Linked DNA regions of Mus musculus. The protein of the gene in region 1 purifies or fractionates together with the protein of each later gene. This does not show direct contact. Links are inferred from orthologs where the notes say so. Each region holds a gene or a part of one and is shown in the gene's direction. Other genes may lie near its edges.

What was found.
Region 2: the proteins of Cdc25a (region 1) and Skp1 purify together in Homo sapiens (affinity purification with western blotting; 6 studies listed by BioGRID and IntAct, with this or other methods). This does not show direct contact. The link is inferred for Mus musculus from reciprocal best matches to the Homo sapiens genes CDC25A and SKP1.
Region 3: the proteins of Cdc25a (region 1) and Ccnb1 purify together in Homo sapiens (affinity purification with mass spectrometry; 3 studies listed by BioGRID, with this or other methods). This does not show direct contact. The link is inferred for Mus musculus from reciprocal best matches to the Homo sapiens genes CDC25A and CCNB1.
Region 4: the proteins of Cdc25a (region 1) and Ywhae purify together in Homo sapiens (affinity purification with mass spectrometry; 4 studies listed by BioGRID and IntAct, with this or other methods). This does not show direct contact. The link is inferred for Mus musculus from reciprocal best matches to the Homo sapiens genes CDC25A and YWHAE.

Annotation. Positions count from the first base shown.
Region 1 is NC_000075.6:109,882,651-109,890,640, forward strand, and holds part of Cdc25a (M-phase inducer phosphatase 1), read left to right. Parts: intron 1-838; coding exon 839-964; intron 965-1,468; coding exon 1,469-1,543; intron 1,544-1,668; coding exon of another isoform or gene 1,669-1,692; coding exon 1,693-1,860; intron 1,861-4,597; coding exon 4,598-4,696; intron 4,697-6,223; coding exon 6,224-6,286; intron 6,287-6,381; coding exon 6,382-6,480; intron 6,481-6,992; exon of another isoform or gene 6,993-7,060; coding exon 7,061-7,191; intron 7,192-7,990. UniProt on the Homo sapiens protein: Tyrosine protein phosphatase which functions as a dosage-dependent inducer of mitotic progression. Directly dephosphorylates CDK1 and stimulates its kinase activity. Also dephosphorylates CDK2 in complex with cyclin-E, in vitro.
Region 2 is NC_000077.6:52,242,186-52,249,357, forward strand, and holds the end of Skp1 (S-phase kinase-associated protein 1), read left to right. Parts: intron 1-401; coding exon 402-475; intron 476-1,429; coding exon 1,430-1,573; intron 1,574-2,795; coding exon 2,796-2,936; intron 2,937-3,799; coding exon 3,800-3,835; 3' UTR 3,836-4,673; downstream 4,674-7,172. UniProt on the Homo sapiens protein: Essential component of the SCF (SKP1-CUL1-F-box protein) ubiquitin ligase complex, which mediates the ubiquitination of proteins involved in cell cycle progression, signal transduction and transcription.
Region 3 is NC_000079.6:100,777,023-100,784,136, reverse strand, and holds the end of Ccnb1 (G2/mitotic-specific cyclin-B1), read left to right. Parts: intron 1-489; coding exon 490-672; intron 673-2,353; coding exon 2,354-2,512; intron 2,513-2,742; coding exon 2,743-2,979; intron 2,980-3,220; coding exon 3,221-3,361; intron 3,362-4,004; coding exon 4,005-4,115; intron 4,116-4,351; coding exon 4,352-4,459; 3' UTR 4,460-5,398; downstream 5,399-7,114. UniProt on the Homo sapiens protein: Essential for the control of the cell cycle at the G2/M (mitosis) transition.
Region 4 is NC_000077.6:75,729,051-75,737,703, forward strand, and holds the start of Ywhae (14-3-3 protein epsilon), read left to right. Parts: upstream 1-3,836; 5' UTR 3,837-3,977; coding exon 3,978-4,041; intron 4,042-8,653. UniProt on the Homo sapiens protein: Adapter protein implicated in the regulation of a large spectrum of both general and specialized signaling pathways. Binds to a large number of partners, usually by recognition of a phosphoserine or phosphothreonine motif.

The DNA of each region.
Region 1 (7,990 bases):
TGCACACATGCATATAGCTGCCCTAGGAGGCCAGGGCCTTAGGATCATGTGAAGCTGGAACTACAGGCAGCTGTGAGCTGTCTGATGGAGATACTGGAAATTAAACTCAAAGTTTCTCCAAGAGCAGTATTTGCTCTTACCCATGGAGCCATCCTTCCAGCACCAGCTTCTTTAGTCCTAATGGAGAGCTAGGTTAGAGGCCAAACTTGGTAGTGTGCACCTGTGATCTCAACATTTGGGAAGTGGAAGAAAGAGGTTCACAGGTTTTATCTCATCCTTGACTGTCCTGTCTCCTGAAATAAAAAGAAAGGAATATGGTAGAGTTTAGAACAAACTCCCCTTGTTTCCATTTGTCTGGAGTTACTTGGGCTTTCTTGAACTTTCTCTGATCCGCTATTTTGTGATCCATAAACACTTGTTTTTTCTTTTTCTTTTTTTTTGGTTTTGGTTTTTCGAGACAGGGTTTCTCTGTATAGCCCTGGCTGTCCTGGAACTCACTTTGTAGACCAGGCTGGTCTCAAACTCAGAAATCCCCCTGCCTCTGCCTCCCAAGTGCTGGGATTAAAGACGTGTGCCACCACCACCCGGCTTGACACTTGTATTTTCAACAGGTTTAGCTGATCACAGCCTTTAGCACATGGCCTTAGTTCTCACTGCAAGATGAGCTCAGGAGCCAGGGAGTACAGTCCCCTCTCTGACTCTGAGGGTGCTAGGTTCACACGGTGCACACACACTCACTCTCTCTCTCTCTCTCTCTTTCTTTTTTTCTTTCCTTTCTTTCAGCAGTCCACCTAAGCAATCAAAGTGGTCTAGAGTTCTTGCTAATTTTGTCTTTCAGCTATCTTCAAATGAAAGTGAATCAGGAAATTTCAGTCCTCTTTTTATACCCCAGTCACCTGTAAAAGCCACTTTGTCCGATGAGGATGATGGCTTCATAGACCTTCTGGATGGCGAGAATATGAAGGTACAGTCTGTGGGTGTGGGCGTGTCTGTTCATTCTAACCAGCCTGCAGAAGCCTCCTAAAAAACAGTTCATTTTGTGAGAGTTCATTGAGTCTTCTGTCTGTTTGACTAAATCCAGCAGGGTGATAGGTCAGATAATACTGGTAAGATCTTTCTCCTTACCCTGAGGGACACTAACGATAGGGAAGGAGAAAGGTTTTGAGATACTTCTGGAACTAAGATATAGCATGTGCTTAGGGGAGTGTACAAGGCCTTAGGCTCAATCAATCCCTTGTACCAAGAAGAAACAGGCCTGCTCTGGTGTTCCATGCCAGAAATTTTAACATTCAGGATGCTAGCCAAACACAGTAAGACTCTGTCTCCAAAACAAAACACAAAACTTCTTATCTAGGCTTATCTGGCATTTCTTAGGAGAGTTACCTGCAAAACATTTGGTTGCTGGGTCTTTTTCTTCTTCCTAGCCCCTCTGCTAGATGTATTTAAAAGCAGTTTTCTCTTGCTCTAGAATGATGAGGAGACCCCATCATGCATGGCAAGCCTCTGGACAGCTCCCCTTGTCATGAGGAGACCTGCAAACCTTGTAAGTTACTCGGCATGTGGAGTTCTGAGGAGCTGAGCCACTAAACAAAGTACTCCTTAACTATGTTGACCTTGGGGCTGGGTTTTAGACTAACTGCCATTCAAGTGGTTGGATTTTAATCCAAGGTTGGACCTGTCTCTGACCCTAAGGCCGATCGTTGCGGGCTGTTTGACTCCCCTTCCCCGTGCGGCTCCAGCACTCGGGCGGTGTTGAAGAGAGCAGACCGGTCTCACGAGGAGCCTCCTCGGGGTACAAAGAGGAGGAAGAGTGTGCCCAGCCCTGTGAAGGCGAAGGCGGATGTTCCGGAGCCCGCCCAGGTTAGTTACCTTCTCCCTTGATCCAGAGTCCTAACAACAGTCGTGGCTCTAAACGTCTCAACTTGCTTGTCCTGTCCTTACTAAGCCTTACTGCTCTTTTCTTTTGTTTTGTTTTTTTCTGAACAGGGTTTCTCTGTATATCTGTGGCTGCCCAGGTTGGCCTTGAACTCAGATCCAACTGCCTCTGCTTCCCACACGCTGGGATTAAAGGAGTGCACCACCACTGCCCAGCAAGCCTTGCTACTTTTATTTGCTTCTGTTTGTTTTTACTTAGAAGATTGTGTCATCTGTTGCTAGGTTTTTATTTTGCTTTGGCTTTTGAGGCAGAGTCTTGTTTCGGGCTGGCCTGGAACTTGTGATCCTCCTGGTGCTTGGATTACAGGTGTGCACCACCATCCTGCATTCTGTCTGTCTTGTTAAGGAACTTGAGTCACTTGTCATGTCTAGAGGTTCCTACTGGTCTATAGAGTCCAGTACTCCTCTTTATCCCCTAGATAATCTCATAGGGGTAGAATTGCTGTGCCATGGACCAGGTGTATGGTTCATTCAGTCTTGCAGGTGCTGCCAGATCATTTTCCAGAATGGCGTGCTCAGTAGCAGGGTGTGAGCTGCATTCCTTCTGTTTCTGAGTAGTGGTTGGTAATGTGCTATTCATTTCAGGTGTTTGTATTAGCTTCATTCTGATTGCTGTGGTAACACGCCACAGCTAAGGCAAGTTACAGAAAGGGGTGTGGGGCTTAAGGGTATTACCATCACTGAGGGAAAGCATGGCAGAAAGGCATGGGAGCAGAAAAAGCAGAGTGACCTGGGGGTGGCATTAGGATTAGGTGTCCAAGGCTGGACATGGTGGAGCAGAGGAAAGTAAATCTCTGAGTTTGAGCCCAGCCTGGTCTACAGCAGAGTTCCAGGGCAGCCAGAGCTACACAGAGAAACTCTGTCTCAAAGCACAAAGAAGAGAAAAAGAAAAGAAGCCCAGTGGCAACTTCCTCTGGCTACGCCACCACTTCTCCTAGTCCCCTAAGCAGTGCCATCAATTGGGACCCCATATTAATGCTCCAACTGTGGGTACATCCATTGAAACCACCATAGCTTTCTAGTGATCGGATGGTATATGGACTTGGGGGAGTTGGTTCTTCTGTTACTGTGTGTAGGATTGTTGTCTGCATATGTGTCTGTACAACGTGCAATTCTGGTGCCCACAGGGTGGGAAGGCATGGATCCCCTAGAACTGCAAGTACTAACAGTGTAATCCACCATGTAGTACTGGAGACAACAAAGAGTTCTTGAGCCATCTCTTCAGCCCGCATTATGTGGGGTTTTGTTTGTTTTTTAGGGTGTGGGGTTTGTGTTTGGGGGGACAAGTTTGCTTGGTGCTGAGGATTGAACCCAGGGCATTGTGCCTATTGCTCCATCTCTGCTCTTTCTTACTTTCCTATGCCATTCATTTATCAAGAGGTAGGGATATAAATACCACAGTGCACATTTAGAGGTCAGAGAACTTTTCCTCTGTCTCTACCTCCCTTGTGCTAGAATCACAAGCCATACCCAGGTTTTTGTTTTGGTTTGAAATTTTGTTGTGTGTGTGTGTGTGTGTGCCTGTGCCTGTGCCATGGTGCACAAGAACCTATCTATAAAATAGAATGGCTCCAGCTTCTTGATATTGCTAAACAAAGAATAGATCTATCTGCCTCTCTAATTTCCTATTTAAGGAAGGGGGCATCAAAGAGTGCTGTCTGGGTCTCTCTAACCTGACAGACTGGGCTTGAGAAAGAATCTTAATGTGCCCACTCCCCTCTGCCCTTCTTTTAAATACTGTTGTGGTGCAAGTCCTGTGTGTGCTATGGCATGTGTGGGGTCAGAGGACAACTGTGCAGCCTTGGTTCTCTCTCCACCATGGGATCCCAGGACTGTCAGGCACATTCAAGTACTCTTACCCTCTGAGCACCTCACTGACGTCATCGTGCCTTGAAAGGTTTACTGCTGTCCTTGGAAGAGAAAAAGAAATAGTTCAAAGTTCTAATCTTACGCCTGTTGCCTCTAGATTACAGTTCTCAGGCGTGCTTACACAGTGGTTCCTTGTGTAGCTGTAGAGCAGAATCACAACAGAAGGCTGTTTAGTTAGAAGCCATCCAAATGATCTTTACAACTCAAATCTTGTTTTCTTACAAAAACCTTCCTTATCAGAAGTTCAGGAACTCTACTGAGATAAAGTAATTATGTGTTATTTTGTGAGATACATGACAATGATCTTCTGTTACAGTGTCAGGTTCAGGTTTTGATTTGGTTTTTGGTTTTTTAATTTTTATTTTTAAGGCAGATTCTTGCCATATAGCCCTGGCTAGGCTCAACATTGTGGCAGTCCTCCTGCCTCTGGGATTGTATCTCACGCCTGTCTTGGTATCACCTCAACAGTTCTCATTGCGAACAGTAAAAGAGGACAGGTGCTGGTTGGTGTGTCGGCATGCCGGTGATCTCTGTGCACTCTTTGAGTTTGAGACTATCCTGATCTACATTATCAAGTTCCAGGCCAACCAGAGATTCGTGGGTTTCAGGGAAATTCAACTAGTTACTAGATAGCATGGAGCTATCCTTCCTCTGCTTAAGTCACAGTACAGAATCTTTTACTTACTATAGGCATTCATATTTCAGTTTCCTTTTCTTGGCATGGTAAAGGTAAATAATTGTAGAGCTTTTAATCAAAACCCTGGTCTCATTCTCTACCTTGGATTTCTTACAGCTTCCATCCCAGTCTCTATCCCTGATGTCTTCCCCCAAAGGAACCATTGAGAACATTTTGGACAGTGACCCAAGAGACCTTATAGGAGATTTCTCCAAGGTAACTGCAAGCAGAGTCACTCTAGTCCGGTGGTGTTGGCAAGGGGTGCTAGAACCCCACTTACCTTGCTCCTTCCTTCCTCAAGGCAGCCCCTGGGTGCCGCCAAGGCAGCAGTTTTAAAAGTAAAAGCTAAAGAACAATCAGCTCAGCTGAACTTGTCAGGATGAGGCACGTGGTGGTCATGAGACTTGCTGGCTCGGTGGTTCCCTGTACGGTTACCTTCACTCTGACCAGTGTGTCTGGGAAAGCATGAGCCTGAGCTATGGTACAGTACAGCTAGCCATGATGGCCCACATCTTTAATCTTAGCATTTGTAAGGCAGAGCTAGACAGACTGAAGCCAGCCTGGTCTATACAGTAACTTCAAGGACCAGGGCTATATAGAGAGAGACCCTGTCTAAAAAGAACAAAACAAGGAAGAACAAGGAGTTTTTGAGGGGGATAAACAGCACTGAGTAGCACTGAGGTGTTCGTCCTTGTTAGGCTTGGGCCAAGATGTTCTTCCATTCTCACTACCTAACTCCATCCTGAGCAACCAGGTGCCCATCACATGAGCAAGTTGTCTCGCTTTCCAAGGCGTGGCCTCACTATTTTACCCAAATTAACCTAGTTCTACTGCCTCAGCCTACAGTACCACACCCACTGTCTTTGTGGTTTTATTTGTTACAGAACCACCTCATATTCTAAGTTGGCTCCAAACTCCAAACTAGGGATGCTCTTGAACTTATATCCTCCTCCCAAATGCTGTTATTATATTCCTGAGTCACACCTGATCTCCTCACTGCGTGTGTGTTTGCTGTTCCAGACACAGTTCCTCTATGCAGTCCTGACTGTCCTGGAACTCGTTGTAGTCCCTACTGGCTTTGAACTCAGAGATCGCCTGCCTCTGCCTCCTCCCAACCCCTAATGCTAGGACTAAACTTGTACCACAACGGCCTGACTGTCCTCTCTGCATTTAAGTGATTTCTCATACTAAGATGAGAATTCCTGATAAAAAAACAGGAGGGGGGTGGGGGAAGGTGCCGGGCGGTGCTGCAGCTACTGCACACCTTTAATCTCAGCATTCCAACGGCAGGCAGGTCTCTGTGTCTGAGGATACATAGAGAAACCCTGTCTTGAAAAACAAAACAAAACAAAACAGTAACAAAAGAAAAGCCAGTGGAGAAAGGAAATGACCTGTGGTTTCTGTGTTCAGATCTAGACTCGGGACTCCTTAGGTGGTAAGACCAGACCCAGAGGGTGAGCATAATCATTTACTAACTTACCCCAGGAGCAGGCTCACCTCGGAGTCTGGAGCTGGACTGCTCTACATAATGAAAACATATCTCCTTAAACAATAATAATTAAATATCTAGATGTTGATTAAGTGCATAGAAAGGTAATTAGCATATAGTATTGACTTATGTTTGTTTCTCGGTTTGTTTTTCAAGCTGCTTCCTACCACACAGGCAGCAGAATAAACCTTAATATTTGCAAGCTTTCACGTTCCTCTAAATATTTTCTGTTTCCTTTTTTTCATTTTCTAAAGGGTTATCTCTTTAATACAGTCTCTGGGAAGCATCAGGATTTGAAATATATTTCTCCAGAAATTGTAAGTCAGGCTTTTGGAACCCACTGCATTTGGGGAGTTGGAATCTCGTTACCTGACAGCCAGCAAATGACACCCTCTTCCCTCTCTCTTCATAGATGGCATCTGTTTTGAATGGCAAGTTTGCCGGTCTCATTAAAGAGTTTGTTATCATTGACTGCCGATACCCATATGAGTATGAAGGAGGTCACATCAAGGTTTGGATTCTTGAGACTTATTATCTTGGGAGTCTTAGAAGGTGGGATAGTGACATCTCTTGGCTGACGGCCAATATACACAAACTGAATGAATATTCCCACCAGTTCCACTTCACTCCCTCATACTGTCCTGTTTCAGGGCATTTCTAGGTGGCATCCCTGATGTCTAAGCTATTCAGTGGGGCCACAAAGAGTTCCACAGCATTTGGGATATTTAAATATGAATGTTTGAGCACCCCAGAGCTCCTGAGTAAAAGAAGCCAGTTTGGCAGCATGGCCCTGGTATCTGTACCAAGGCTCTGCTGTTGAGTCAGGCTGCCTACCTTGGGAAGGGACATGTTGGAACACCAGATTTCTAGAAGGAAGGAGCTGGTCATGCCTGTTTAGTATTACCATAAAAAGCAGGATTTAAATGTGAGTGGGGATTAGCTTCTGACTTTATGAAGTGACATTTAGAAATGGCCTACAGAGAAAGCCTCACTGACATAACAGGCAGGTGGTCTACTGCGCTGCTGGGCCGTGGGACCTACAGACTCCTGGGTGTGGCTTAGCAGGTGCTCAGTGTCTGCTGTCTCCACAGGGTGCCGTGAATCTGCACATGGAAGAAGAGGTTGAAGACTTCTTACTTAAGAACCCTATTGTGCCTACTGATGGCAAGCGTGTCATTGTCGTGTTCCACTGTGAGTTTTCCTCTGAAAGAGGCCCTCGAATGTGAGTACCACAGAGAATAAGGCTTTGGGGCGGAGGCTTCCTGACAGTGGAGAGCAGGGCACACGTCACAACCCTAACACAGGCACCTTTCACAAAGTCACAAGGCGCTCCAGTGCTGCTCCAGTCTACACATTATGTGTATACATGGCTTTTGTGGAAACTATAATTCCTATTATAACATAGTTTCCCTTAGTTGGACTTCTGTCCACTGATTTGTCTTTCAAACAGCCTTTTTTTTTCCCCTTCAAAAAAGGGTTTCACTGTGTAACCCTGGCTATTCTGGAACTCAGTCTGTAGAATAGGCTGGCTGGCCTCAGGGATTTAGGCACCCGGCCAAATAGACATTTTTACGATTAGTATTTATTTTATACTTTTTTTTATTTTGTGCACGCGCAAAGTGCCCTACCATAGTGTGTATATGGAGTTCAGAAGTCAGCTTGGGGGAGTGCTCTGCTGTGTGGATTTCTGAGCAGCTTTTACCCATCTTGCTCTCCCAAACATTTTTCCTCCTTTCTTGGTGGAGAAGGGGTTCAAGGTAGTGTTTCTCTGTTGAGTCCTAAATGTTCTGGAACTCAGGACATGTAGATGATGCTAGCCTCCAACCCAAAGATCCATCTTCATTGCCTCCTGGGTGCTGGGTATAGAGGCCTGTGACACTACCACCCAGCCCAGACATATTTCTTGAATGTAGTTGATGAACTTAACCTTTACGTTTTGATTGCAAATGATTTTCAGGCTTCTCCAGTTCAGTCTTACGGTGATACCAGTTGTAACTTTGTAGTATCACCATGGGTTCAGC
Region 2 (7,172 bases), on another chromosome or scaffold:
GTCAGCTTGACACAAACTAGGGTCATATGTAAAAAAGGAACCTCAGTTGAGAAAATGTCTCCATTAGATTGGTCTATGGGCATTTTCTTGATGAATGATTGTGGGAAGGCCTAACCCATCGTGGGTCCTCTCATCTGTAGGCAGGTAGTCCAGAGTGGTATAAGAAAGCTGGCTGACCAGGCAGAAGAGCAAGGCAGCTAGCAGTGACTTCTGTTTTAGTTCTTGCCTTCAGATTCCTGCCCTGGTTCAGTTCCTGTCTTGGCAGGCTGTTACCTGAAGTATATATAAGGTGAACATGATTATTTTCTCTCCAGTTGCTTTTGGTATTTTATCACAGCAATAGAAGTCGTATGTTGTTATGGAGTTGAGAAACAATGACTTTTCTCTCCTGGTTTTCTTAGATTTGGGAATGGATGATGAAGGAGATGATGATCCTGTTCCTTTACCAAATGTTAATGCAGCAATTCTAAAGAAGGTAAGCGATGATTTTGTTTTTGTTTTTCTTATTTTGGTACTGGGGAATTGAATTTAGGGTCTGAAACATGCTTAACATATGATCTGTTAGTAAACTAAGCTCCAACCTAGGTAAGATCTTTGGGGGGGGGGGTGGAGTTTGTTTTATTTCTTTGGTTTGTTTTTGTTTATTCATTTTTGTTTTCGAGACAAGGTTTCTCTGTATAGCCCTGGCTGTTCTGGAACTCACTCTGAAGACCAGGCTGGCCTTGAGATCAGAGATTGACTTGCCTCTGAGTAGTGATATTAAAGATGTGAGGCACCACCTCCTGGCTTGGTTTGTTTTTTTAAAATAAGGGTCTTGTTTGATAGCTCAGGCTGGCTTTGAACTTGGAAGAAATTCTACTGTTGCCTTGTGGGTGCCTGAATTGGAAGCATGTGTCACCATACCTGTCTAGACTTCTTAATGAACTTAGATTATAGTCATTCTGTTGTTTGTTTGTATAAATGAGTAATTTGGTATGTGTACATGTGTTTTGGTTGTGTACCTGAAGCCTGAGGAAGACATTAGGTGTCCTGATACATTCCTTCTCTATTTCCTGAATCTAGAGCTAGACTGTTAACCAGCAAGCACCCCAATACCACCAACACTAGGAGTTGCAAGTGCATGCTGTCTCAATATTTTTATATAGATACTAAGGATTCAAAATGGGATCCTTATGCTTGTTCAACAAGTGCTCTTACTGACTGAGCTATCTTACCAGCGAGGGGTGGGACGGGATGAGGAGAGAAGGGAGAGAGGGAGGGAGTGGGGGCAGAGAGAGAGAGAGAACACACGATAATTAAAATATTTTTAAAAATTGACTCTTAACTTTTTGTTAGACTTCCTTAGCGAGTTCTCATCACAGTGTAGTGATGCCCCCAGCATTGAACTGAAAGTCTTGTCATAGAATGCCAGAAGTATTTGTTGTTGTAGGTCATTCAGTGGTGCACCCACCACAAAGATGACCCTCCTCCTCCTGAGGATGATGAAAACAAAGAAAAGCGGACAGATGATATTCCTGTTTGGGACCAAGAATTCCTGAAAGTTGACCAAGGAACACTTTTTGAACTTATTCTGGTATGTTAATGTATAAAGTAGTTCTGTTGCAGAGCCTTTACCTATTAAAGGATTGAATTGGCTAGGTGCATTGATCTTCAACTGTGGATATTCTCTGTACTCACGCGATGTAATATATTTTAGTAGTTAAATTAAATGTAATGATCCAAACACCTTTGAGGGGTAGAAATAGCAGGTCAGATAAAGCAAAACTATTTTTTGCTGCCTGTGTGAAAATGGAAAAGAGTATGCTAATGCAAATCAGAAGAAAGCTGGTTGTATTTTGAAGTTAAGAGGGTTATTTTCATAATGATAAAGGGGATTGATTCGTGAAGAACAATTGTCATAGACATCTACCTAGAAGCAGAACTTCAAAAAGAGAAGAGGAATGAAGCACACAGTTGTGCAGGCATAGAAACTCCAGTGTTGCTTCTCAGTAATTATAACAAGTGGACAGAAAACCAGGTCAGCAACACTGCTGAACAGCTTGTCTTAATTTATATGTAGGATGTTATATTTAATTATGGCCATATAAATTCTTGTCAGGATAGACTAAGTTCTGGGCCATACAAGTCCCAGATGTAAAAGTATTCAAGTTATACAAAGTATGTTCTCTGACTTCAGTGGTAGAAGCATGAAAAATGTTTGAAGCTGGGTGCAGTGGTGCATACCTTTAATATAGAATATAGGGGCAGAGCTCTGAGTTTGAGACCAGCCTGATCTACATAGCATGTTTTAAGATACTCAGGGCTACGCGCAGTGAGGCCTTGTCTCAAAATAAAGTAAAACCTGGGGAAAAATTGTGAATATTTGAAAATTCAGTAATTTATTTTTAAGCCAAAGGAAAATTTTACATTAGTATTTCTAATTGAATTTAAATAAAACAACTTAAAATTTAGGATAAAGCTAAAGCAGTGTATAAGAAGAAAGCTAGTGCCGGGCAGTGGTGCCGCACACCTGCCTTTAATCCCAGCACTGGGGAGGCAGACGCAGGTGGATTTCTGAGTTCGAGGACGGCCAGGGCTACACAGAGAAACCCTGTCTTGAAACAACAACAAAAAACCCAAAAACCAAAGAAGAAAGCTAGTGAAAGGTGAAACTACATTGAAAATAATCAGTATTACAGGGCAGAGAATTTCATAAGAGTTCATTAAACGGGGTATCATTTTAAGCTCAATTTGATGTAAATTGTTAACCTTAAATATTCAGTACATATGACTAAAAAACCTGCTATTAATTACAGGCTGCAAACTACTTAGACATCAAAGGTTTGCTTGATGTCACATGCAAGACTGTGGCCAATATGATTAAGGGGAAAACTCCTGAGGAGATTCGTAAAACCTTCAATATCAAAAATGACTTTACTGAAGAGGAAGAGGCCCAGGTAGGTAGCACACAACCCATCTTCAATTGCTTTTTAAAAAGAAACTGGAACCCAATACCAAGACAAGAAAAAAAGCCCATCAGAAAGTCTTGGTCTTGTGCTGCTTACCCGAGAACACCTTTAAAATTTCCTTGATACCAGTGGGGCGTGGTGGCAAATGCCCTTTATCTCCCAGTACTTGGGAAGCTGAGGTAGATTGTGAGTTCCAGGGCTACATAGAGAAACCTGTCTTAGAGAACAAAAGAACTAATAACAACAAAAGTCTTGATACAAAGGCATAATGTGCATCTGTCTCTGGATCTAAGCAGTTAGGTGAGAGAGTTCTTGAAGACTTTAATTTTAATTCATGAGTATGATCATGGTGCCCAGAAGAGAGCATCAGATTTCTTGAAGTTGGAGCTACAGGTGGTTGTGAGCTGTGGGTGGGGGTGGGATAGGAATTATGTCCTCCAGGATAACAGTTTTAACCTGAGTTATGTTCAGCTTGCTACTGTTCTTTTAGAAACATAAGAAAAATGGATTTTGAACTAAAGAGGTTCTTCATTATCAGATTCTTTTTTTTTTTAAACCTGTGATATTTGTATAGGTTGTAAACTGTTGGCTTTAGAAATCAGGGCCTGATAATAGAAGAGTGGATGAGTTGGGTGTGCTTGCCAGCTTAGAAAGTGGGACTAGAGCTTTCAGTTGACATCTGCTGTTCAATGTTAGAAAGTTAGTCATCAGGTCTGCTTTTACTTAGCCTAATATTTTCCCAGCTTTCCATTTTCCTTTCTCATATGACATAGGCTATTGATGATACAGTATAGGTAGTGCTTAGCCATCTCAGGAAAGACAACTCAAGGTATACCTTCTGTCTCTTCTAGGTACGCAAAGAGAACCAATGGTGTGAAGAGAAGTGAACTGCTGTGCCTGTCACTGTAACACTAGAAGGGTTGTTCCAAATGCTAGTTGCACTGCTCTGTTTATAATTGTTAATATTAGAGATCAGTAGACAAACATCGCCTTGTCTTCACTGCATGTGTAGTTCCAGTCCAGATCAGACCTGTGGCTGAGTTTCTTCTGTGAGCAGAAGTTTCCTTTTCCCCCCATTACTCTGAATAAAACCGAACTATGGGTTCTCTGCGGAAAGTGGCATTTTGGGCTTTCCCTTTCTGTAAAGTGATTTCTGCCTCTAGTTCATTGTCCAGTTAACTTCAGTGAGCCTTTCAAAGTTGACATTGTAAATAAAACAACTTAAGAAAAGTATGCTGAAATAGAATTAACAAAACATGATACTTGTTCATGAATCGGAAACTGGAATAGGGCAGCTTGAAGTTAACCATGTGGGTGTCTTCCAACCTCTATGCTGCTGGTAAGCTTGAGTGCAGCTGGGCTCTCTTAATTGGATCTGAGGCCTTGTTTTTTCTTTTTTTTTTTCTTTTTTTTTTTTTTAATCTTCTCAGCTTTGAATATGTTGCCTAGAGATTTAGTTTACTACCCAGTTTGTGGTTTTGGAGTGGGAACTGTAACTCAACAATTTGTTAGCTTTTCAATTAAAAAAGACACTTACTTCATGTGGTATGTCATCTTTTTATCATCATTGTTCCCAGGTGGAGAAACACTACTTGCATGTAAAAATTAATTTAACCTTTTAACATTAAAGTGTATGGTAAAACTCAGAAAACAGCCATCCTAAGTGCAAGATGCTTTTCAATAAAAAGTAGTACAATAGGTAGTAAACAGTTGCTTTTGTGGATGTAAATGTGTTTCTTAATGAATTAAGGTTTTTTTTTTTTAAAGATTTGTTTATTATACATAAGAACACTGTAGCTATCTTCAGACACACCAGAAGAAGGCATCAGGTCTCATTACAGATGGTTGTGAGCAACTATGTGGTTGCTGGGATTTGCACTCATGATCTCTTACCCTCTGAGCCATCTAGCCAGCCCATTTGGTTATTTTTTAATTGTAGAGAATCTTGCTGAATGGTTGTAGATAGTACCCACATCTTTTTTAATCCCAGCACTTGTAAGGTCAGCCTGGTTTACAAAGGAAATTCTAGAAAGCCCAGGCTACAAAGAGAAACCCTGTCTTCAAAAGCAAAAGAAAAAAAAATTCAAGTGGGTTTTTTTTGTTGTTTTTTGTTTTTTTGAGGGGGTGGAGGGTGGGGGTTTGAGACAGGGTTTCTCTGTGTAGCCCTGGCTGTCCTGGAACTCACTCTGGACCAGGCTGGCCTCGAACTCAGAAATCCGCCTGCCTCTGCCTCCCGAGTGCTGGAAGTAAAGGCGTGCGCCACCATACCCGGTGATTTGGTTTTTTGAGGCAGGGTTACTCTGTAGACCAGGCTGGCCTCAAACTGCCTGGCCAGTGATTAGTTCTTAAGACGTAACTGCTCAGCCACTATTTTTAGCTTCCTTTATGGTAGATTTTCCCCTTTATTTTGTAATGCTGGACATTGAACACTAAGAGCTTTGCACACATTAAGTGCTCTCCCTCTGAGCCCCATTGCTAGACACTGCCTTTTCCTACTGAGGCTCCCATTTATTTTGTGTTTTTGCTAGCTAATGATAATCCCGTTACTTTACATTCTCGTTACAGTTGCTGTGAAGCATGCTGGCCTAGATTATCACTTTACACAGCAACTTGGCTCTTCCCTAGCAAAGCCTTAAATGTTGCCTTTTAATCCCCACTTTCTTTATTCTCAGATTAGGTTTAACTATGTATGTCTAGGCTGGCATTGACTCGGGGTAGGGTCCTCTTGCCTCATCTTTGAGAGCATTGGGAATTTGAGATGCACACCACCATTTTTTGTTCCCATTTATTTTCAATACATAGATAAAATAACATACCTGTCATCTTGTTCTAGTCTGGTTCTGCCATCTTTGTAAGATGGTCTTTACATTTGAATTTGAAACCTTTGTTAAAATATTAAAAATGCAGCAAAGTAGTGGTGGCACATGCCTTCCAGAACTCAGAAGTCAGGGGCAGGCATATCTTTCAAGTTTGAGGCCAACCTGGTCTACAAAGGGAGTTCTAGGATAGCCACAGCTACACAGAGAAACCTTGTTGTGAAAAGCAAAAATAAATAGGGCCTATGAGATGGCTGAGTAGATGAAAGCACTTGCCCCCAAGACTGATGAAACTGAGTTTGATCTTGGGAACCTACAGAATGGAAGGAGAAAACTAACTCCTGTGGGTGCTCTGCTACTTGCATGCATGACACAAAAACACACCCCCACCCACTCACACACACACTAATAAAAATTTTAAAATAGCCAGATGGTGGTGACACATGCCTTTAATCAGGAGGCAGAGACAGTGGGGTTCTCTTGAGTTCATGGACAGCCTAGTCTATAGAACTAGTTCCAGGACAGCAAGGTTACACAAAGAGACTAGTCTAGGAAAACAAAACACCCCCCCCCCCCAAATATATATATGAAAATAGATCAAAAAGTATAAAATATCTGGCTTTCTGAAGAAATTTAAGCCTTCCCCCCACCCCATTTTGTTGGTTTAGGAAAGAAGGAAGATGATAGTCCAATGTTAGCTGGAGTATTTCACTTGCCAGTTACTGTTATAACACATTTACCCAGCTTTGTAACCCTGCTTGTGTCAGGACAAACCCAAGTCTTTACTAAAGCTCTAGGATTATTGTTACATATCGTGTTTATAAAGCAAGTGTCAATTTCTAGGAAAAACCTGTGGGTGAGCCTTTTGAGACCAGGAGTGGAAATGCCAGGTCTTGCTATATGGCCCAGGCTGATCTCAATTCATGGACATAGAAGTCTTACCCTAGCATCTCTAAGGGCTGGAATTGGGGTGTGTGTGGGATGGGGGAGTGTTAGCATTGATGTCATGCTGCCTTGAGATTTAGTAAGCCCAGGATTTTGTGAGAATGGCAGTAGGAGTAGGGACATCACTATCTGTATTTAAAAGGTAAAATGAGCGGAGGTATGCTGAGTTTGTGTTCTCTCCTTGACTTTGGAAACTATAGCCTAGTCCTCTTTCCTGATGGCTCTCAGATATCTTTTACTATATAAAATACTATATTGACTCATATCAAACTTGTATTTGCCAAGAAGCTGAATTCTGCTAACATGACTCCTATTCTTTTAGACAAATGGAAAATAATTATAGGATTCAGATGAATAGATCTGATAGCTTATCTGAGGGAAAATTGGCAATTTGTGTCCACTGTTCACCAAACAGGTTCTAGGTCTGGTGTTGAGACCTTTTCCATGCTGGCAGTTTATGCCA
Region 3 (7,114 bases), on another chromosome or scaffold:
ACCAGATCTTGCTGCCTTGTAGTTTGCTATGGAGACCAGGCTGGCTTCATCTCACAGAGATCTGCCTCCCAGGGGCTGGGATTAAAGGCCTGGATCACCATGCCTGGCTCTGTTTGTTAGTTTTTGCTGTTTATGTGTACGATTTGTTTTTCATGAGTGGGATGTGGGTTTGCACATGAGCGCAGGGCCCAAGGAGGCTGGAAGAGGACGTCAGATAGCCTGGAGCTAAGGTTGAGTCCTGGTTCCTGAAGAGAAACTGGATTCCAGCCCTTGGCAAAAGCAGCAGATGTTCCTTTACAGCTATAACTATCACTCCAGCCTAGTGTTAATCATTTCCCAAGAAGAAATTGGGGGAAAGAGTCTGAAATGCTTTCCCTTTATTAGTGAAATGAGTTACATTTATTGAGCATGCTGTACTGAATTGCGGATACAGATACTGGCTTTCCTTCCCTTAATGTAGCCTGTTTCACGGAGCCTCTCTTTTTTAAGGTTGATAATCCCTCTCCAAGCCCGATGGAAACATCTGGATGTGCGCCTGCAGAAGAGTATCTGTGTCAGGCTTTCTCTGATGTAATCCTTGCAGTGAGTGACGTAGACGCAGATGATGGGGCTGACCCAAACCTCTGTAGTGAATATGTGAAAGATATCTATGCTTATCTCCGACAACTGGAGGTCAGTATTGTCATTGCAGTCTGCCTTCTCTCACTGCAGCTTCCTGGATCAATATTCCTGGTCCTGGACTTAAAGGTGGTGCAATATACACTTGGTTTATTTTTTTGTGTTTTTCATATATATATACATAGATCAGTTAGCCTGGAACTCACAGAATGCTGGGATTAAAGTGATGTGACACCAACTCAACTATCAAAGATTTTTATCAACAGCACACGACATTTTTTTTAAACAACAAATAGCACTCTATTTGTTAGAATCAGAAACACTATTGTTTTGAAACACTAAAAAATAAAGTCATTAACCCCATGAAGTGGACTTGCCACTTTGAATATAAAATTTCTATATAGGGAGATAACCTTCCTAAAATAGGCATGTCACAAATGTGAAAGTCTTATCCTTGTGGGTCTAAGATGGGGATAGATGGCTAAAGGACGGTGGCTGTCCCACACCAGGCATTCTTTGTCAGTGTGCATGTACTTGTCAGAACGATGGAAGTTGGTTTCATCACCTTCGCCTACTTGGAAAGCTTTCTATTAATGGAACTTGCCCTTTTCTCTTTCTAAACAAGGCATTCTATAGCTAAATGTAGATTTATCAGGTTTAAACCCTCCCTGTCCCCCCAGTACTAGGGACAGAATACAGGACCTTGTGCATGCTAAGCAAGCACTTTACCACCGAACTATATCCTAGCTTTGTCTTCTCAGGTTGTCATTGGTTTTTTTGCTGTTGGGTTTTTATCTCTTTTGTAATAGTGTTTTCAAGCCTTGTGTGGGTGGGCACATGAGGGGTTCAAAGGACAGCTTTGAAGAGTTGGTTCCCTTGAAGAATGGCAGCAGCACATGCCTTTAATCCCTGCACTGAGGAGGCTAAGGGAGGCAGACCTCTGAGCTAGAGGCCAGCCAGGTCTACAAAGTGAGTTCCAGGACAGCCAGAGTTACACAAAGAAACACTGTCTTGAAAAGCAAAAAACAAGAGTAGGTTCTCCTTCTGCCTTTCTTTATGTCAGTCCTGGGGTCAGCAGGCCTTAGCCCATGAAGCCGTGTTGCTCATACCCCATTCTTTGTTAACATCTGTATTTTTCTTTTAAAGATTTACTTATTTTATGTTTATGAGTACACAGTAGCTGTCTTCTGACACACCAGAAGGTGCGTCAGATCTCATTATGGATGGTTGTGAGCCACCATGTGGTTGCTGGGATTTGAACTCAGGACCTCTGGAAGAGCAGCCATCTCTCCAGCCCACATCTGTATTTTCTAAAGTAGTCTTCAGTAAGATAATCTGGTTCGAAACTAGCTGTCTTCGTTTTTATTCTTGTTAATACTGCTAAAGCTTTGTGTTCTAACGCTCAGAACTTGGTTTGGTGTTACACTGTGTGGGTGTTTTGAGTTTATAACATGGAGCAGCAGATCTACAATTTATTTTTTCTGCATCACAAAACTTAGTTGTGAGTGAAAAGATCTGAGGTGATGATGGGTACAGGGCGTGAGCTGCAATAGTTCTGGCTAACCAGATGGTCGCTCTGTCAACAGTCTGAAGAGCCTACTATGACTTTGCAAACCTTGCTTTCTTGGTGAACTTCTGCCCTGAGCTGTTTGTTTGATGTTTGTTAACTGGTCTTTATGGACACCGATGGTAGATGTTGTGATGTTTCTAAAATAACTGACATTTTCTTTTGTAGGAAGAGCAGTCAGTTAGACCAAAATACCTACAGGGTCGTGAAGTGACTGGAAACATGAGAGCTATCCTCATTGACTGGCTAATACAGGTTCAGATGAAATTTAGGCTGCTTCAGGAGACCATGTACATGACTGTGTCCATTATTGATCGGTTCATGCAGGTATGTGTCATTCAGTAATTGAGAGTTATCCAGTTGTAGCTCTATGAGAATCTTGGAGGAGGGGAGGTGGATACTTAAGGTTGAACCTCGGGTCCCATACATGGTAGGCAGGTACCTTAACTGCTGAGCTATTATTATACCTAGCCTGAAACTGAATCCTTTCTTGGGAGGTAAGGTGTCATCAATTGAGATGTTTCAGTGCATTCTGTTGATTGAACTTGCCATTGCAGAACAGTTGTGTGCCCAAGAAGATGCTACAGCTGGTCGGTGTAACGGCCATGTTTATTGCAAGCAAATATGAGGAGATGTACCCTCCAGAAATAGGTGACTTCGCCTTTGTGACTAACAACACGTACACTAAGCACCAGATCAGACAGATGGAGATGAAGATTCTCAGAGTTCTGAACTTCAGCCTGGGTCGCCCTCTGCCTCTGCACTTCCTCCGTAGAGCATCTAAAGTCGGAGAGGTACAGATTCCTCGAGAAATGTTTGTTTTGCCACATGAGAAAAAACACAGCTGCTAACTTAAAATGTCAAATACATTAGACATTATACATTATTTAAAAATAAGGCTGCTGACCTAACTACATATTACGTGGTTACTTTTAAGACCTTCTGGGGACAGTTGTCTTTGAGAGTTTGTAGTCCCGGCAGGGCAGGGCTTTTTAAGTTAGTGCTGAAGGCTTAGAGTGGTGTGGTCTGTTCCAGGTTGACGTCGAGCAGCACACTTTGGCCAAATACCTCATGGAGCTCTCCATGCTGGACTACGACATGGTGCATTTTGCTCCTTCTCAAATTGCAGCTGGGGCTTTCTGCTTAGCGCTGAAAATTCTTGACAACGGTGAATGGGTAAGCTGTCTCACCAAACTACCAAGCATTGGAACGGACCACTTGGTGTTGAGATCACTCTCCTGGGTCCTAATATGGAAGGAGTGTGACCATAAATGGTAACCCAAATGCTGCGCTGCCATCTCAGTGCTGTAGCTAACTTCAGTCTTTAGGATAACACCCTTTGGAGAGAGGAAGCCACACCAAGTGATCTAAGAAACCTGTCCACATCCTTGGAGGTGCATTTCTCTTGTACGGACAGGGTGCTACCCTGACCTTGGGATAGAGAAGCCACAGTTACAATATTGTGCTTAGAGCTCAAGCTCTTCCAGAAGTATATGTGGGCAAAAAGATCTTGTTTCATGTGTAATCACACTGTTCACCCACCAGACTCTTAAATAGCATCTAGAAAGTTTATAAAAGGAGGGCTGGTGAGATGGCTCAGTGGGTAAGAGCACACTGACTGACTGCTCTTCCGAAGGTCCCGAGTTCAAATCCCAGCAACCACGTGGTGGCTCACAGCCATCCATACTGAGAACTGGCGCCCTCTTCTGGTGTGTCTAAAGACAGCTACAGTGTACTTATACATAATAATAAATAAATCTTTTTTTTTTTAAAGTTTATAAAAGCCGCCGGTGTTTTAAGCATGTTTTTGTTCTCTTAGACACCAACTCTGCAGCACTACCTATCCTACAGTGAAGACTCCCTGCTTCCTGTTATGCAGCACCTGGCTAAGAATGTAGTCATGGTGAACTGTGGCCTCACAAAGCACATGGTGAGTCCATTGAAAATTTAAGGCTGGTTTATGGCCTATAGTCCCACCATGCAAGGCAGGAAGAGGCAAGTTTTGAGTTTAGAGCCAGCCAGGACTCTATAGAAAGGTTGTTTAATTTCATTTTTTAAGTTAAAATATAATTACATTGTTTCTACTTCTCTTCCCCACCCCCCCCCCAACACACCCCCAATGGCAATGTTTTTCTTCTTCCTGATTGCAGTGCTTTTCTCTTACAGACTGTCAAGAACAAGTATGCAGCATCTAAGCATGCTAAGATCAGCACGCTGGCACAGCTGAACTGTACACTAGTTCAGAATTTGTCTAAGGCCGTGACAAAGGCATAACTCCAATAGACTGCTACATCTGCAGATGCAGTTGGCACCATGTGCCGCCTGTACATAGGATACCTACCGTGTTTACTTGCTCTTCAATAAAGGTTGTGACTTCTCATTTTACATAGCTTAACTCATTTGAATGTTGTTGCTTCTGAGTTTAGGCTAACGGAAGTTGTCGAATTTAGGAGTATATTAAAAACTGCATCTAGTTTTAACAGTGGATCCAACTAATGTATATATCTGTAGCCTATATGTCTATATACATCCTTCACTGTGTGTCCTTATATCATCATGTCTTCTGCCTCACTCTAGTTTAAACTCTAAATCTACCAGCTAGTCCTTTGTTCCATTTTCCAGTGGTTGCCACCTTTAACCACTGTCTCTTGGTTTGTCAACTTTCAGATCTGAAACCAAGTATCTTTTTTTATGTAATTATTTATTTGTTCTTAATTGGAAAATAGGATGTTCAAAATTAAAGGTGTGTTTTAAAAAGAATTTGCCCCCAAGTCTCACTATCAACAGATAAGGGTGTATTCTTGTATATCCTGTATAGATATAATCATGCATATACTCCCAAGGAGATATTTTTATATGGGTTCATTTTATCAACAGTATTCCTATCAGCATTCCTTTCAATGCCTATATTGCATTTCCTAGTGTGAACAAACTGTGTGTAACATAGTCATTCCCTCGGTGGGATTCAAGTGCATTCTCTCAGTGCCCTCCACAGTGTTCTTAAATGATGTTTAATGTCTTGCTTGGCTTCATTCATAGTAGCTCTTCCAGGGGTGTGCTTTGAATTCTGACAGCCAGATGGGTGTGGCTGCCACCATACCAAGGCGCCACTCCTGTCTTGTAATGCCACCTGGAAAAGAATCCTGTCTCATTTGCTGTTTTAATTTATACATCTGATATCAAGTTGAATAAAATTTATTGGTGGAAAGCTTTCACAATTCTCATTTGCCCTTTTGACTGTTTATGTTGTCTTTGCAATATGGAGACTTTATGTTGCTAATAAACATAGTTTTCGATTTTCAGCCAAGGTCGGCCAACTCCCAAGTGTGCACACCTTGTAATCCAGCCCAGGTTTTTAAGTGTACATATCTGATCTAAATGGTGTTATTCCCCTGTAATAATAGGACTTTTTTTTTCTTTTCTTTTTTTCTCTCTCTTTTTTAATATATTTTTCAAAAAAGGATGTCCAATCCCCTGGAACTGGAGTTACAGTTATAAACTGACATTTGCCTACTGGGAATTGAACCCAGGTTTTCTGGAAGAACAGCCAGTGCTCTTAACCACTGGGCCAATTGTCCAGCCCATGATAGGAATTTTTAAAACTGAGTTCTAAGAGTTTCTGTGGCTACATACGGCTTAACGAGTGCATCTGCGTGTATCTTGTTACTTGGAAACTTTTTTTTTTTTTGGTTTTTCGAGACAGGGTTTCTCTGTAGCCCTGGCTGTCCTGGAGCTCACTCTGTAGACCAGGCTGGCCTCAAACTCAGAAGTCCACCTGCCTCTGCCTCCTGAGTGCTGGGATTAAAGGCGTGCGCCACCACGCCCAGCACTTAGAAACCTCTTGTTGGGCCTTCACTGTATAATCCTGAGGGTCCTTACCCTCGTGCTGGGGTTTTCACTTTAAAAATCAACTACTTTTTTGATTTTTGATAATTTCCCTTTATCTTTCTTCAACCCACCCTCACCTGGAATTCTGAAGTTCATGGCCTTTGGCTTTTATTGTTGTGCATATGTTCATAAACATATAACCTGCTCAGTAGTGGTCCTTGTATGTATATAACTTCAGCACTGCCCACTGTAGTTGTCCTGATTGGGCCCCATGACTTTCCCCTTCTGTGTTAGCATCACCCTTGCTGAAGGTTGATTTAGGCTTGTTTAGTGTTGAAACTTCATGGGTGTAGCTTCCCTGACATTGAGGAGACAGAATTTCAAGCAGTCTTTCTAGTCCCCTGGCGCCTAATATCTGTGCCTCCTCTCCAGTGTTCTTCAGTGCAGGCGTTGTTGATAACATGAGCTGGGCTGGGGCAGGGCTTGTTCTGCATTTGATTGTGGTTTTCTGTGGACATAAAGATAAACATTCCGAATTGGGTGCTTGTGTGAGCTGCCTCTCCAGGTGGCCTGGACCTCAATCCTTCTTCTCCCTCCTAAATGCTGGAATGTTTTACTCTTCCTGCCTCTGCTTTGCTTCTGTGATACGGAGATGGTGCTAGGGATTCTAATTCAGGCCTCTCACGTGATTTTGTAACAACTTGACATATACTTAACAGCTGGTGAGGTGGCTCAGCAGATAATGCTGACTGCTCTTCCTGAAAGTCCTGAGTTCGAATCTCAGCACCCACATGGTGGCTCACAACCACCTGTAATGAGGTCTGACACCTTCTGGTTCGACTGAAGATCTGGTTCAACTGAAGACAGCTACAGTGTACTTATTTATAATAGTAAATCTTTGGGGCTGGAGCAAGCAGGGACTGAGTGAGGGGTGGGGGCTGACTGGAGTGAGCAGAGGTCCTAAACTGATTTCCCAACAACCAGATGAAGGCTCACAACTATCTGTACAGCTACGGTGTACTCATATACATAAATAAATGAATCTTTAAAAAGACAAATGGCAGCTGTAGTACTTTGATAACAGGACTGTGTTAACAATAA
Region 4 (8,653 bases), on another chromosome or scaffold:
ACCAGAGGTCCTGAGTTTTAATTCCCAGCAACCACATGGTGGCTCACAACCATCTGTAATGTGGCCTGATGCCCTCTTCTGGTGTGTCTGAAGACAGCTATAGTGTACTCACATACATAAAATAAATAAAATGTAAAAAAAGAAAAGGAAAAAAAAAACAGTGCCAACTAAACTCACTGACTCACACACACACCACACACACAAACACACACACACACAAGGATGCAGCCCTATTCTTTTGGGCTTTTTTTTTTTTAAAGCTTTATTTATTTTATGTATGTGATTACACTGTTACTGTCTTCAGACAAACGAGAAGAGGGCATCAGATCCCATTACCCATTACAGATGGTTGTGAGCCACCATGTGGTTGCTGGGAATTGAATTCATAACCTCTGAAAGAGCAGTCAGTGCTCTTAACCACTGAGCCTTCTGACCCTTTCCACCCTAATCCCTTCTAACTCTCCAACACTAGGTAGGAGAGAAAGGTTGGAGGGGAAAGAGGGTGGAGACATCTTTGGACTACTTCCTACTGATTAGGGGCATTGAGCTCCTTGGGACAAGATATCCAATTTAGTTTTCTTGACTCTTTGCTTAGGACCACTTAATAAACTGCACCAGGAGGACCAGGAACAGGACCCTCCCCGGAGTCAACCCTCAGATGTGGGACCCTGTAGTTTATACCCTCTGAAAAGTTCCCAGAATTCCAAATGTCACACATTCAAAGAAACTAACTGCAGTTGGCAAAACCCCATCCCTGCTAGAGCAATCCTGGGCAAATCCTAGTAACCTGCTGTGAAGCAGTTTCTAATCCCACACCTAGGATTAAAGCAAAAACATCGCTACAGAACAACTGGCTTTTTAAAGAAACCAAAATTCTCACTACACAAGGACAGGAAAGTAAGACAGACCAGTTGTGAGCAGGAAGAGATCAGCCAGTGTGAGGGATGAGAAGGCAAGGGGGTGACAGGACCTAAACACTGTGTCCCTGCACAAAAATGCCAAAATGCCATTCTGTGTAATGTGTGTTAACAAAATGTTTATTAGAGAGGCTGGGTAGATAGTGCAAGTTCAGCCTGCAGAACTCACATGTGAACTTTGCAGCAGAGAGTGGAGACAAGTAGAACTCTGGGGTTTATTTGGGCAGCCATCCTAGGCTACTGAGAGTTCCACGTCCCAGAAAGAGAGTCAGTCTCAAAGAACAAAGTAGGTGGTGGGACACACCTTAATTCACTGCACTAGGAAGGCAGGAGGGCTTGTACTTGATGTGTAGCTGAGAGTGGCCTTGAACTCCCAATCTTCCAGTCCCATTGTCTTCAGTGCTGGGATTACAGGTATACCACCATGCCAGGCTTATCAGCCCCCTTTCAACTCCATGTTTGCTATTCTACCTGCCTAATGCTTGGGGAATCTCAGAACCAGCACGTGCTAAAGAAGAGTTCATGTTTTTCTCTCTATCTTAGCCAGCAACTCTTCCTGGACTCCTGTTTGTTTTTTTTATTATTGTCATGGTTTTTGTGTGTATTTTTTGAGGCAGGGTCTCACACTGTAGCACTGGGTGTCCTGAAACTTGCTCTGTGGCTGGGCCTGAAACTCAAGAGGTCCAACTGCTTTTCCTCCCAAGTGTGCCACTATCCCTGGCCTTCCTGTTTGCTTTAAAGACATAGTCTTATCCTTTTTCTGGGGCTGGCCTGGAACTGGAACTATGTAACCAAGGCTGGCCTCAAGCTTATGGCAATCCTCCTGCCTCAGCCTCTCAGTGCTGGGATTATAAGTGTGAGTTACCATATTCAGCTCTGTATTTCTTTTATGTTACTGGTACTGTTGCTCATTCCTTTGACAGGGTGGGAAGGTGGGAAGTCAAGTTTTATTTCACATGGCTGGTCAGCTACAAAGTCCTGTGGCCTCTCCGTGATGCTATTCTTGTCTGTCCTTTCCTCTCTGTCCAGAGGCTAGTATCGATTACTTTTGCTTATATTTTGTAATATGATAATTTACCATTCTTGTTCATTACTGCTATGCAATGTTTTCTTTCTCCTGTTGGCATATTTTTTGTCTATTTTACTGGGTTTTTATATCTCTACCTCCCCTTCCAACCCCCCCCCCCCCAACACTAGGTAGGAGAGAAAGAAGGGGAAAGGGAATATAGACCTCTAAAGGCTACTTCCTGCTCACTGGGGGCATCGGGGTCCTTGGGGCAAGTCTAATCTTTGTCGTCAGGGTATCTCTAACTTCTTGTCTCTTTGCTTATGGCCATTTGACAAACTGCAACAAAAGCAACCAGGAGCAGCAGCCTTCTTCTTTGGAGTGCCCCTGTTCCCCTCTGGGCTCTGGCATTTATTTATCTCCTCTCCAGAGTCTCCAGAAATCCAAACATAAACTATCCGCAGCTGGCAAGACCACAGCCCTGCTAGTGCACAAGGTAAATCCTAGTCACCTGCTTCGAAGCCGCCTCTTATCCCACGCCTGGGATTAAAACGCAAACACATTCACAGACCATAGCTGGGTTTTTGAAGAAACCAAAACTCTCACCACCAGCTCCTTTCTTTTTGTGTTTGTGTTTCGAGGTAGGGTATTTTTAGTCCAGGATGGCCTGGAACTTGTGGCAATCCTTGTCTCTGCTTCCACAGTGCTGGAATTACAGGCGTGAACCACCGCTTCAGTAAGTACGGAATACTTTTCTTAAGTACAATTATGACGATGTCACCTTCCACTCAGAATCATCAAAACAGCTTGCCCAGATAGGACTATAACTCAGTGGCAAAACACACGGTGGAAGCTGTGGGGGTCAGTCTCCAGCGTTTGGACAAAACAATTCCTGTCCGTTCACAGACTAAGATGCAAACCTCTGGGCGTGTGACCTCAGGCCTTGATCCCAACCTTTTGATTTCACACTCATTTTGAGGCCCTTTTTCTGCATGGCTCAGCAGCAAGCTGATATTGAGTATAAGATGTTGAAAATCCATAAGGAAGCAGACTAGGCGTGGCCATTGCAAGTGAAGCAATCCCCATGGAGGATTATTTATTTCTAACTCATCAATGTCAATTTGCCCTTACACACCTCAGGTGCACCTTGCACTCCAAGTGAGGCAAGCCACTATGTCTCCTTTTTCCCTCGAGTGAGGGTTTCCCTTAACTAGCTGAGATTGACCACTTTTTCTTTTTTCTTTCTTTCCTTTTTTTTTTTTTTGAGATGGGGGTTTCACAATGTAGCCCTGGCTGACCTGGAATTTGCTTTGTAGATGGGACTTGATCCAAACTCGATCCTTGCGCCTCTACCTCACTAGTGTTGGAATTAAACACACTCACCTATGCTTGAAGCAAAACCAGAGATTTTAAACAAAAGTCCTATCTACGATAGGCCAAAGAGATAAAATATGGCTGGAGGGGAGAAGAAAATGCTTAAAGTATGGAAGCAAGGGAGATGATGATGCGTGAAAACTCGAGCTTTCCCTTCTTGTCCTTGTCAATTCTTTAAATTGGATGAGAAAAATGTGCTAGAATGCACAGGGCCGGTTGATCTTCAACGAGGAAGGCCTGCCGTAGCAAGAACCCATCAAGCCTGTCGCTCTGTCCCCCACAGGCCAGCCCGCGGTCGCCCCGCACGGGCTTCTGGCTAACTCCCCTCCCGCAGTCTAGGCCGACCTCGCCTCCAGCCGCTCCAGGGGCCGTTCTCCGTCGCAGTCGCAGTTCCCGCCTCGCCACAGGGCCGCCCGCTGTGCCGACGGAGGAGGGGCGTCTGTCGCGCTGGTTCCAGCCTTTTCTGGCGCCGAACTCCGGGATCCGCCCCCCCCCCCCCCCGCGCCAGTTGCCAGGGAGCGGTTGCCATAGAGCTGAGCAGTTGTCCGCGTGCGCAGGCGGAAGTCCCGGATTGAGGCGCCGCCATTTTTCCTGCTCGGACGCGGAGCGAGAAGCTGAGAGAGTCGGAGACGCTATCCGCTTCCATCCGTCGCGCAGACCCTGCCGGAGCCGCTGCCGCAATGGATGATCGGGAGGATCTGGTGTACCAGGCGAAGCTGGCAGAGCAGGCCGAGCGATACGACGGTGAGTCGGGGGGGTGTCGGGGGGCTGGAAGTCTCGGACCCTCCGCCGCCGCCCACAGAGGCCGGGAACCGGAGACAAAATGGCGGAGCCGTCTCGGAGCCCGGCTTGGGACGTGGGTCGGGAAGCAGGCCGAGGCCTGCGGGCTCCCGGCGCGGTGGGAGTCCCCGGGCCTAGGGATTTGACCCCTCCGGTGTCCTTAGCTTGCAGGCGCTCGCCCGCCAGCAGGCCGGGGCGGAGGGTGGAGGAGTTGGTTGTAAAATGGCGGCTGGAGGGGGAGGGCGAGTCCCCGGGCGGGGGAGGGGGGAGGAGATGGCGGGTGCCGGCTCCCGGCGTGCGATCCCCACGGGAGCCCTCGGGAACCGCGGCGGGGTGTGGAGGAGGACACTTGGGTGGGGCGATGTGAGGAACGGTACCGGTCGCTCGGGAGAGGGCGGCATCGAGGAGCTGTAGCGCTAGGCGCCTTTCGGGGAAATATGGCGGGTGGGGGCGGTGGCTTTTCCCCTGAGGCCCAGTGTGGGGCGGCGGCCGTGGAGCCTCACAAAGGAGAAGCCTCTGGAACGGACGGCTTCTCGGGGCCGGCGGTGGAGAGGAGTCTTCTGGTGAGGGTGGAGTGTTTGGAAATCACTGCAGAGCCTCCCTCCTTGGGTGGAGGCGAGCTGAGATGCTGCGATTGGATTTCTTCCTTTGGGCCGACACACCTTGGAGTTGAGAGTTTGGGGGGCTTTTTAGCCTCGCCTTCTTCCGGGGAGGTGCAGAACCTCACTCCTACCCCGTTTGTTCTTACCCAGGATATCCTAAAGTTGCTGCGGGTTTTTTTTTTCCCCCTTCTGTCCCCATCCTTCATAGGCACGGAGTTCTGATGGCTAGAATACAGGAGACCAGGCTTGCCAGGATTCCTTAGTACGAATTTCCCTTTGCAGAGTCAGTGCCTCAGTTTACCCGTTTGTAAAATTGACGACTGTACTATTCACACTCGTCATTATGAAGTATGGAAAGACCTGCTGAGAAATGGTTAATTCAAATAATGTTTAGTAGCACTTTGGGTTGACAACCCAAGTTCGGGTGGAATGCATGCTCTTCCTTGGCTTGGGGAGCTTTACCTATTTTGAGCACTCAGTTGAGGCTTGGGGAGTTTGAATTAGGAATGTAGAAGATTGTAGTTTTTCTGTTTTATGATTTCATTGTTACATGATTGGGGCTCAAACCCAGGATTGCATGCAAGCAAGACAAGTGCTCAAATACTGTGCTACACCACAGCTCTGTTTTATCCATTTTAAGAGAATGGTTTTATATATATGTATATGTGTGTGTGTGTGTGTACACACACACACACAAATTTCAATAGTTACTCTTCTGTTAATTTGACACACACACACCCCACCTGCAGGTGATGGAGACTAGACCCTAGTACATGCTAGATTCTCAACTTAGCTCCTGCTAATTGCAGTCTAGTTTTTTTTTTTTTTTTTTTTTTTTTTTCTGAGAATTTCATTGACATATCTACTGTGTTTGTGAAGTGTAACTAGATATTTGAGTTAGGCAATAGGCCATTAAACTAGTATTTAAAAATGAAAAGTCACACACATGGTTCCTGTGATTTAATTAATTGCAGGTGTAGTTCTGGCTGTTCTGAAACACTATGTAGACCATACTGGTCCTGAACTCAGAGATCCGTCTCCGCCTCCCTGTGTGCTGAGATTAAAGGCATGAATACTAAGGCTAGGTCCTGTGAGTTCAATGTTTGGGAAGTGGTAGGGTCCAATGAGACAAGATTGGAATTAAGTGTTCCTCATGTTTTTTCCATGTTAGTTAAAACATTTGCTTTTTCAAATGTTAGGTCAGACCCTTTTCCTTGAATGGCAGTTTCTCCTGTGGAAGCTTTTGAACCACCAGTCCTTAGTCTTTGCCAAAGTCACAGGCCCAGCATTTGGAAAGTAGAACAGCAGACCTCAAAACCTCCAATTTAGGAAAGACGCTGAACTACATTTTGTCTTGCAGATTTCAGTTTGTAGTGAGTTGGGCTCCTGTTGGGAGCTGGAGGAGGTGGGATGGGGAAATAGGAGTGCAGCTCCAGGTGAGCTTGTCTGTCCCGGGAGAGTACTGGAGGTTTCCCCTCTCGATCCCAGAAGAGGTCCCCCCCTTAATCTGTGTCCTTGGGAGGAAGCATGAAATTAATTTGAAGACTGGTGACTTAGGCTTTATGTAAATATAATAACCCTCCCTCCCCCCCAAACGAGGTATGAGGGGAAGCTTTCTGATTTGCTTCTAAAAGTCATTTTAAAAAGGGATTTGCAAACATGATTGTAGCTTCCAAATAAATGACAATTTTTAAATCATACTTGGGGTTTGAATGATGAGAATTTTTGAGCAAAGCTTGGCCTTGTTGGCTATTGAGTACAGTGTTCTAGAAAAGCCATGTGGTGACTGTACTTAATGAGGGAAGGAAACTGGAAGCACTCCTGTGATTTGGCCTAAGAAAGGAAATCAGTAGAAAGGGAGAGGAAGAAGGCAGTCACAGAAAGTGATCACTCCTACTGACTGGTAATTCATTTTTATTAGTGTAACAAAAATTGATTATAGTCACTGATTATAGTAGTAACCACTTAGTAAATAAAATGCCAAGGGTAGTGAAAGAATGCATCGCAACCCTGAGTTTTAGATACTATGTAAATGTTGGCTTTTAATTGCCTGCTCTTTTTTTTTTTAAAGTGTGTCAACAGTTTTTTTCTTTTTATTTATTTATTTATTTATTTTTAAATATTTATTTATTATATGGAAGTACATTGTAGCTGTCTTCAGACACTCCAGAAGAGGGAGTCAGATCTCGTTATGGATGGTTGTGAGCCACCATGTGGTTGCTGGGATTTGAACTCTGGACCTTCGGAAGAGCAGTCGGGTGCTCTTACCCACTGAGCCATCTCACCAGCCCCTAATTGCCTGCTTCTTGCTGCTGTCATAGGTTTCTCTTGTATTTTGCATGCTGGGTGGAGCCTGGTGCCTGAATTATCTTTTACTTTCCCCATAGGTAATAGAAAACAATTTATATAGATTATTTAATGGTCTTAGAAAAGGAGGTGAGAAGCCGTTTTAAAGAACAGCTTTAGGACAGTTTAAAGAACTGTTTAGGAGTTTATATAGGAAAACTTAAAGCTTGAGGCTACGACTGTTCATTTTAATTGTTAGTATTCCCTCTCTCTTTCTCCTGCTCATTCATTCATTCATTGAGACAGGTTGTCTCTGAAGAGCCCCTGGCTCAACCAGAATTCACTGTAGACCAGCCTGGCCTCAAACTCAGAAACCTTCCTCCTGCCTCATGAGTGCTGGGGAGTGTGGCAATATGCCCAGTTTAGTTTAGTAATTTAACAAGTCAGTAGTCTTAAGAAAATAGGGTTTTGTATATTTGTAGCCATATTAATCAGGTTACCATAGTCAAACAAATAAGTTTTCATACATTTAAAACACATGAGTATAGAAAAGTTAAGGAAGTGGGGCATAGCTAGGAATTGAACTGAGGGCCTTGTACATCCTAGGCAAGTGATCTACCATGGAACTAGATCCATCTGTATTTTGAGACAAGGTCTCACTAATTTACCTAGGATAGCCTTGAACTGGCCTTGAAATTACCACCCTCCAGTGACAGCCTCCCAAGCAGCTGAGTTTGGCCTGTTCAAAATTGGAGGTTTTTCCCCCTATTTTCTGGGATCGGAGTGGTCAACATATGTAATATTTGACTCGTGTGGTGGTTCTGCTTTTGTCTTTCCTAAACTTCATCGTGCTCAGATTAGCTCAGTGGGGTCTAGAATGGTGGCACACTACTTTAAACTACACTTAGAAGACAAGGCAAGAGGATCTCAAGTTCCAGGTTAGCCTGAGTTATGAAATCCTATCTGAAAACGACAAATTAGCCAGGTGGGATGACACATACCTTCAGTCTCTGCACTCAGGAAGCAGATGCAGGCAGATGTCTGAGTTCTAAGCTAGAAAAGAAAAGAATTGGTTCTATGGGGTGTGGCGTGTTGTTGAGATCCCTGCTCCCCACCACTTGGGTTGTCACTCTGAATACTGAAATACCAGAAATTCGTCTGTTCTGAGTCATTGGCTTGAGAGCTGTTTTAAAACACCAAAAATCTCATTACTAAAACATACTGTACTAGTTAGGGAAGGATGGGGAACACATACTCACTCACTCACTCACTCACTCACTCACTCACAGACAGGGTCTCTGAATATTGGCCTGGAACTCAGGAGGCCCTCTTTCTGTGCCTCCCAAGTGCTGGGATTAAATGTGCTCACAGTCACGTCTACCCCTGCCTTTGTTTGCAAGGGATGCTCTTTACAAGGTGGGTGGTACATACTGTAATCCCAGTGCTTAAAAGGACAAGAATCTAGGATTTAAGGTTAACTGCATCTGTGTGTAGTGAATTTGAGGTTAAATGATACTGTCCCAAAATAAAGGGATACTGTGCATTAGATTTTTGTAAAGCATTGTTCTTTTGTGTTACACAGTTTGGGGATACTATGAGTTGATAAATCACTGTTACTTGAAGTGATTTTTTTACTACTGTGGATGTTCTCTAAGGATGCTCATTTTAAATTTCATTTGTATGATGTG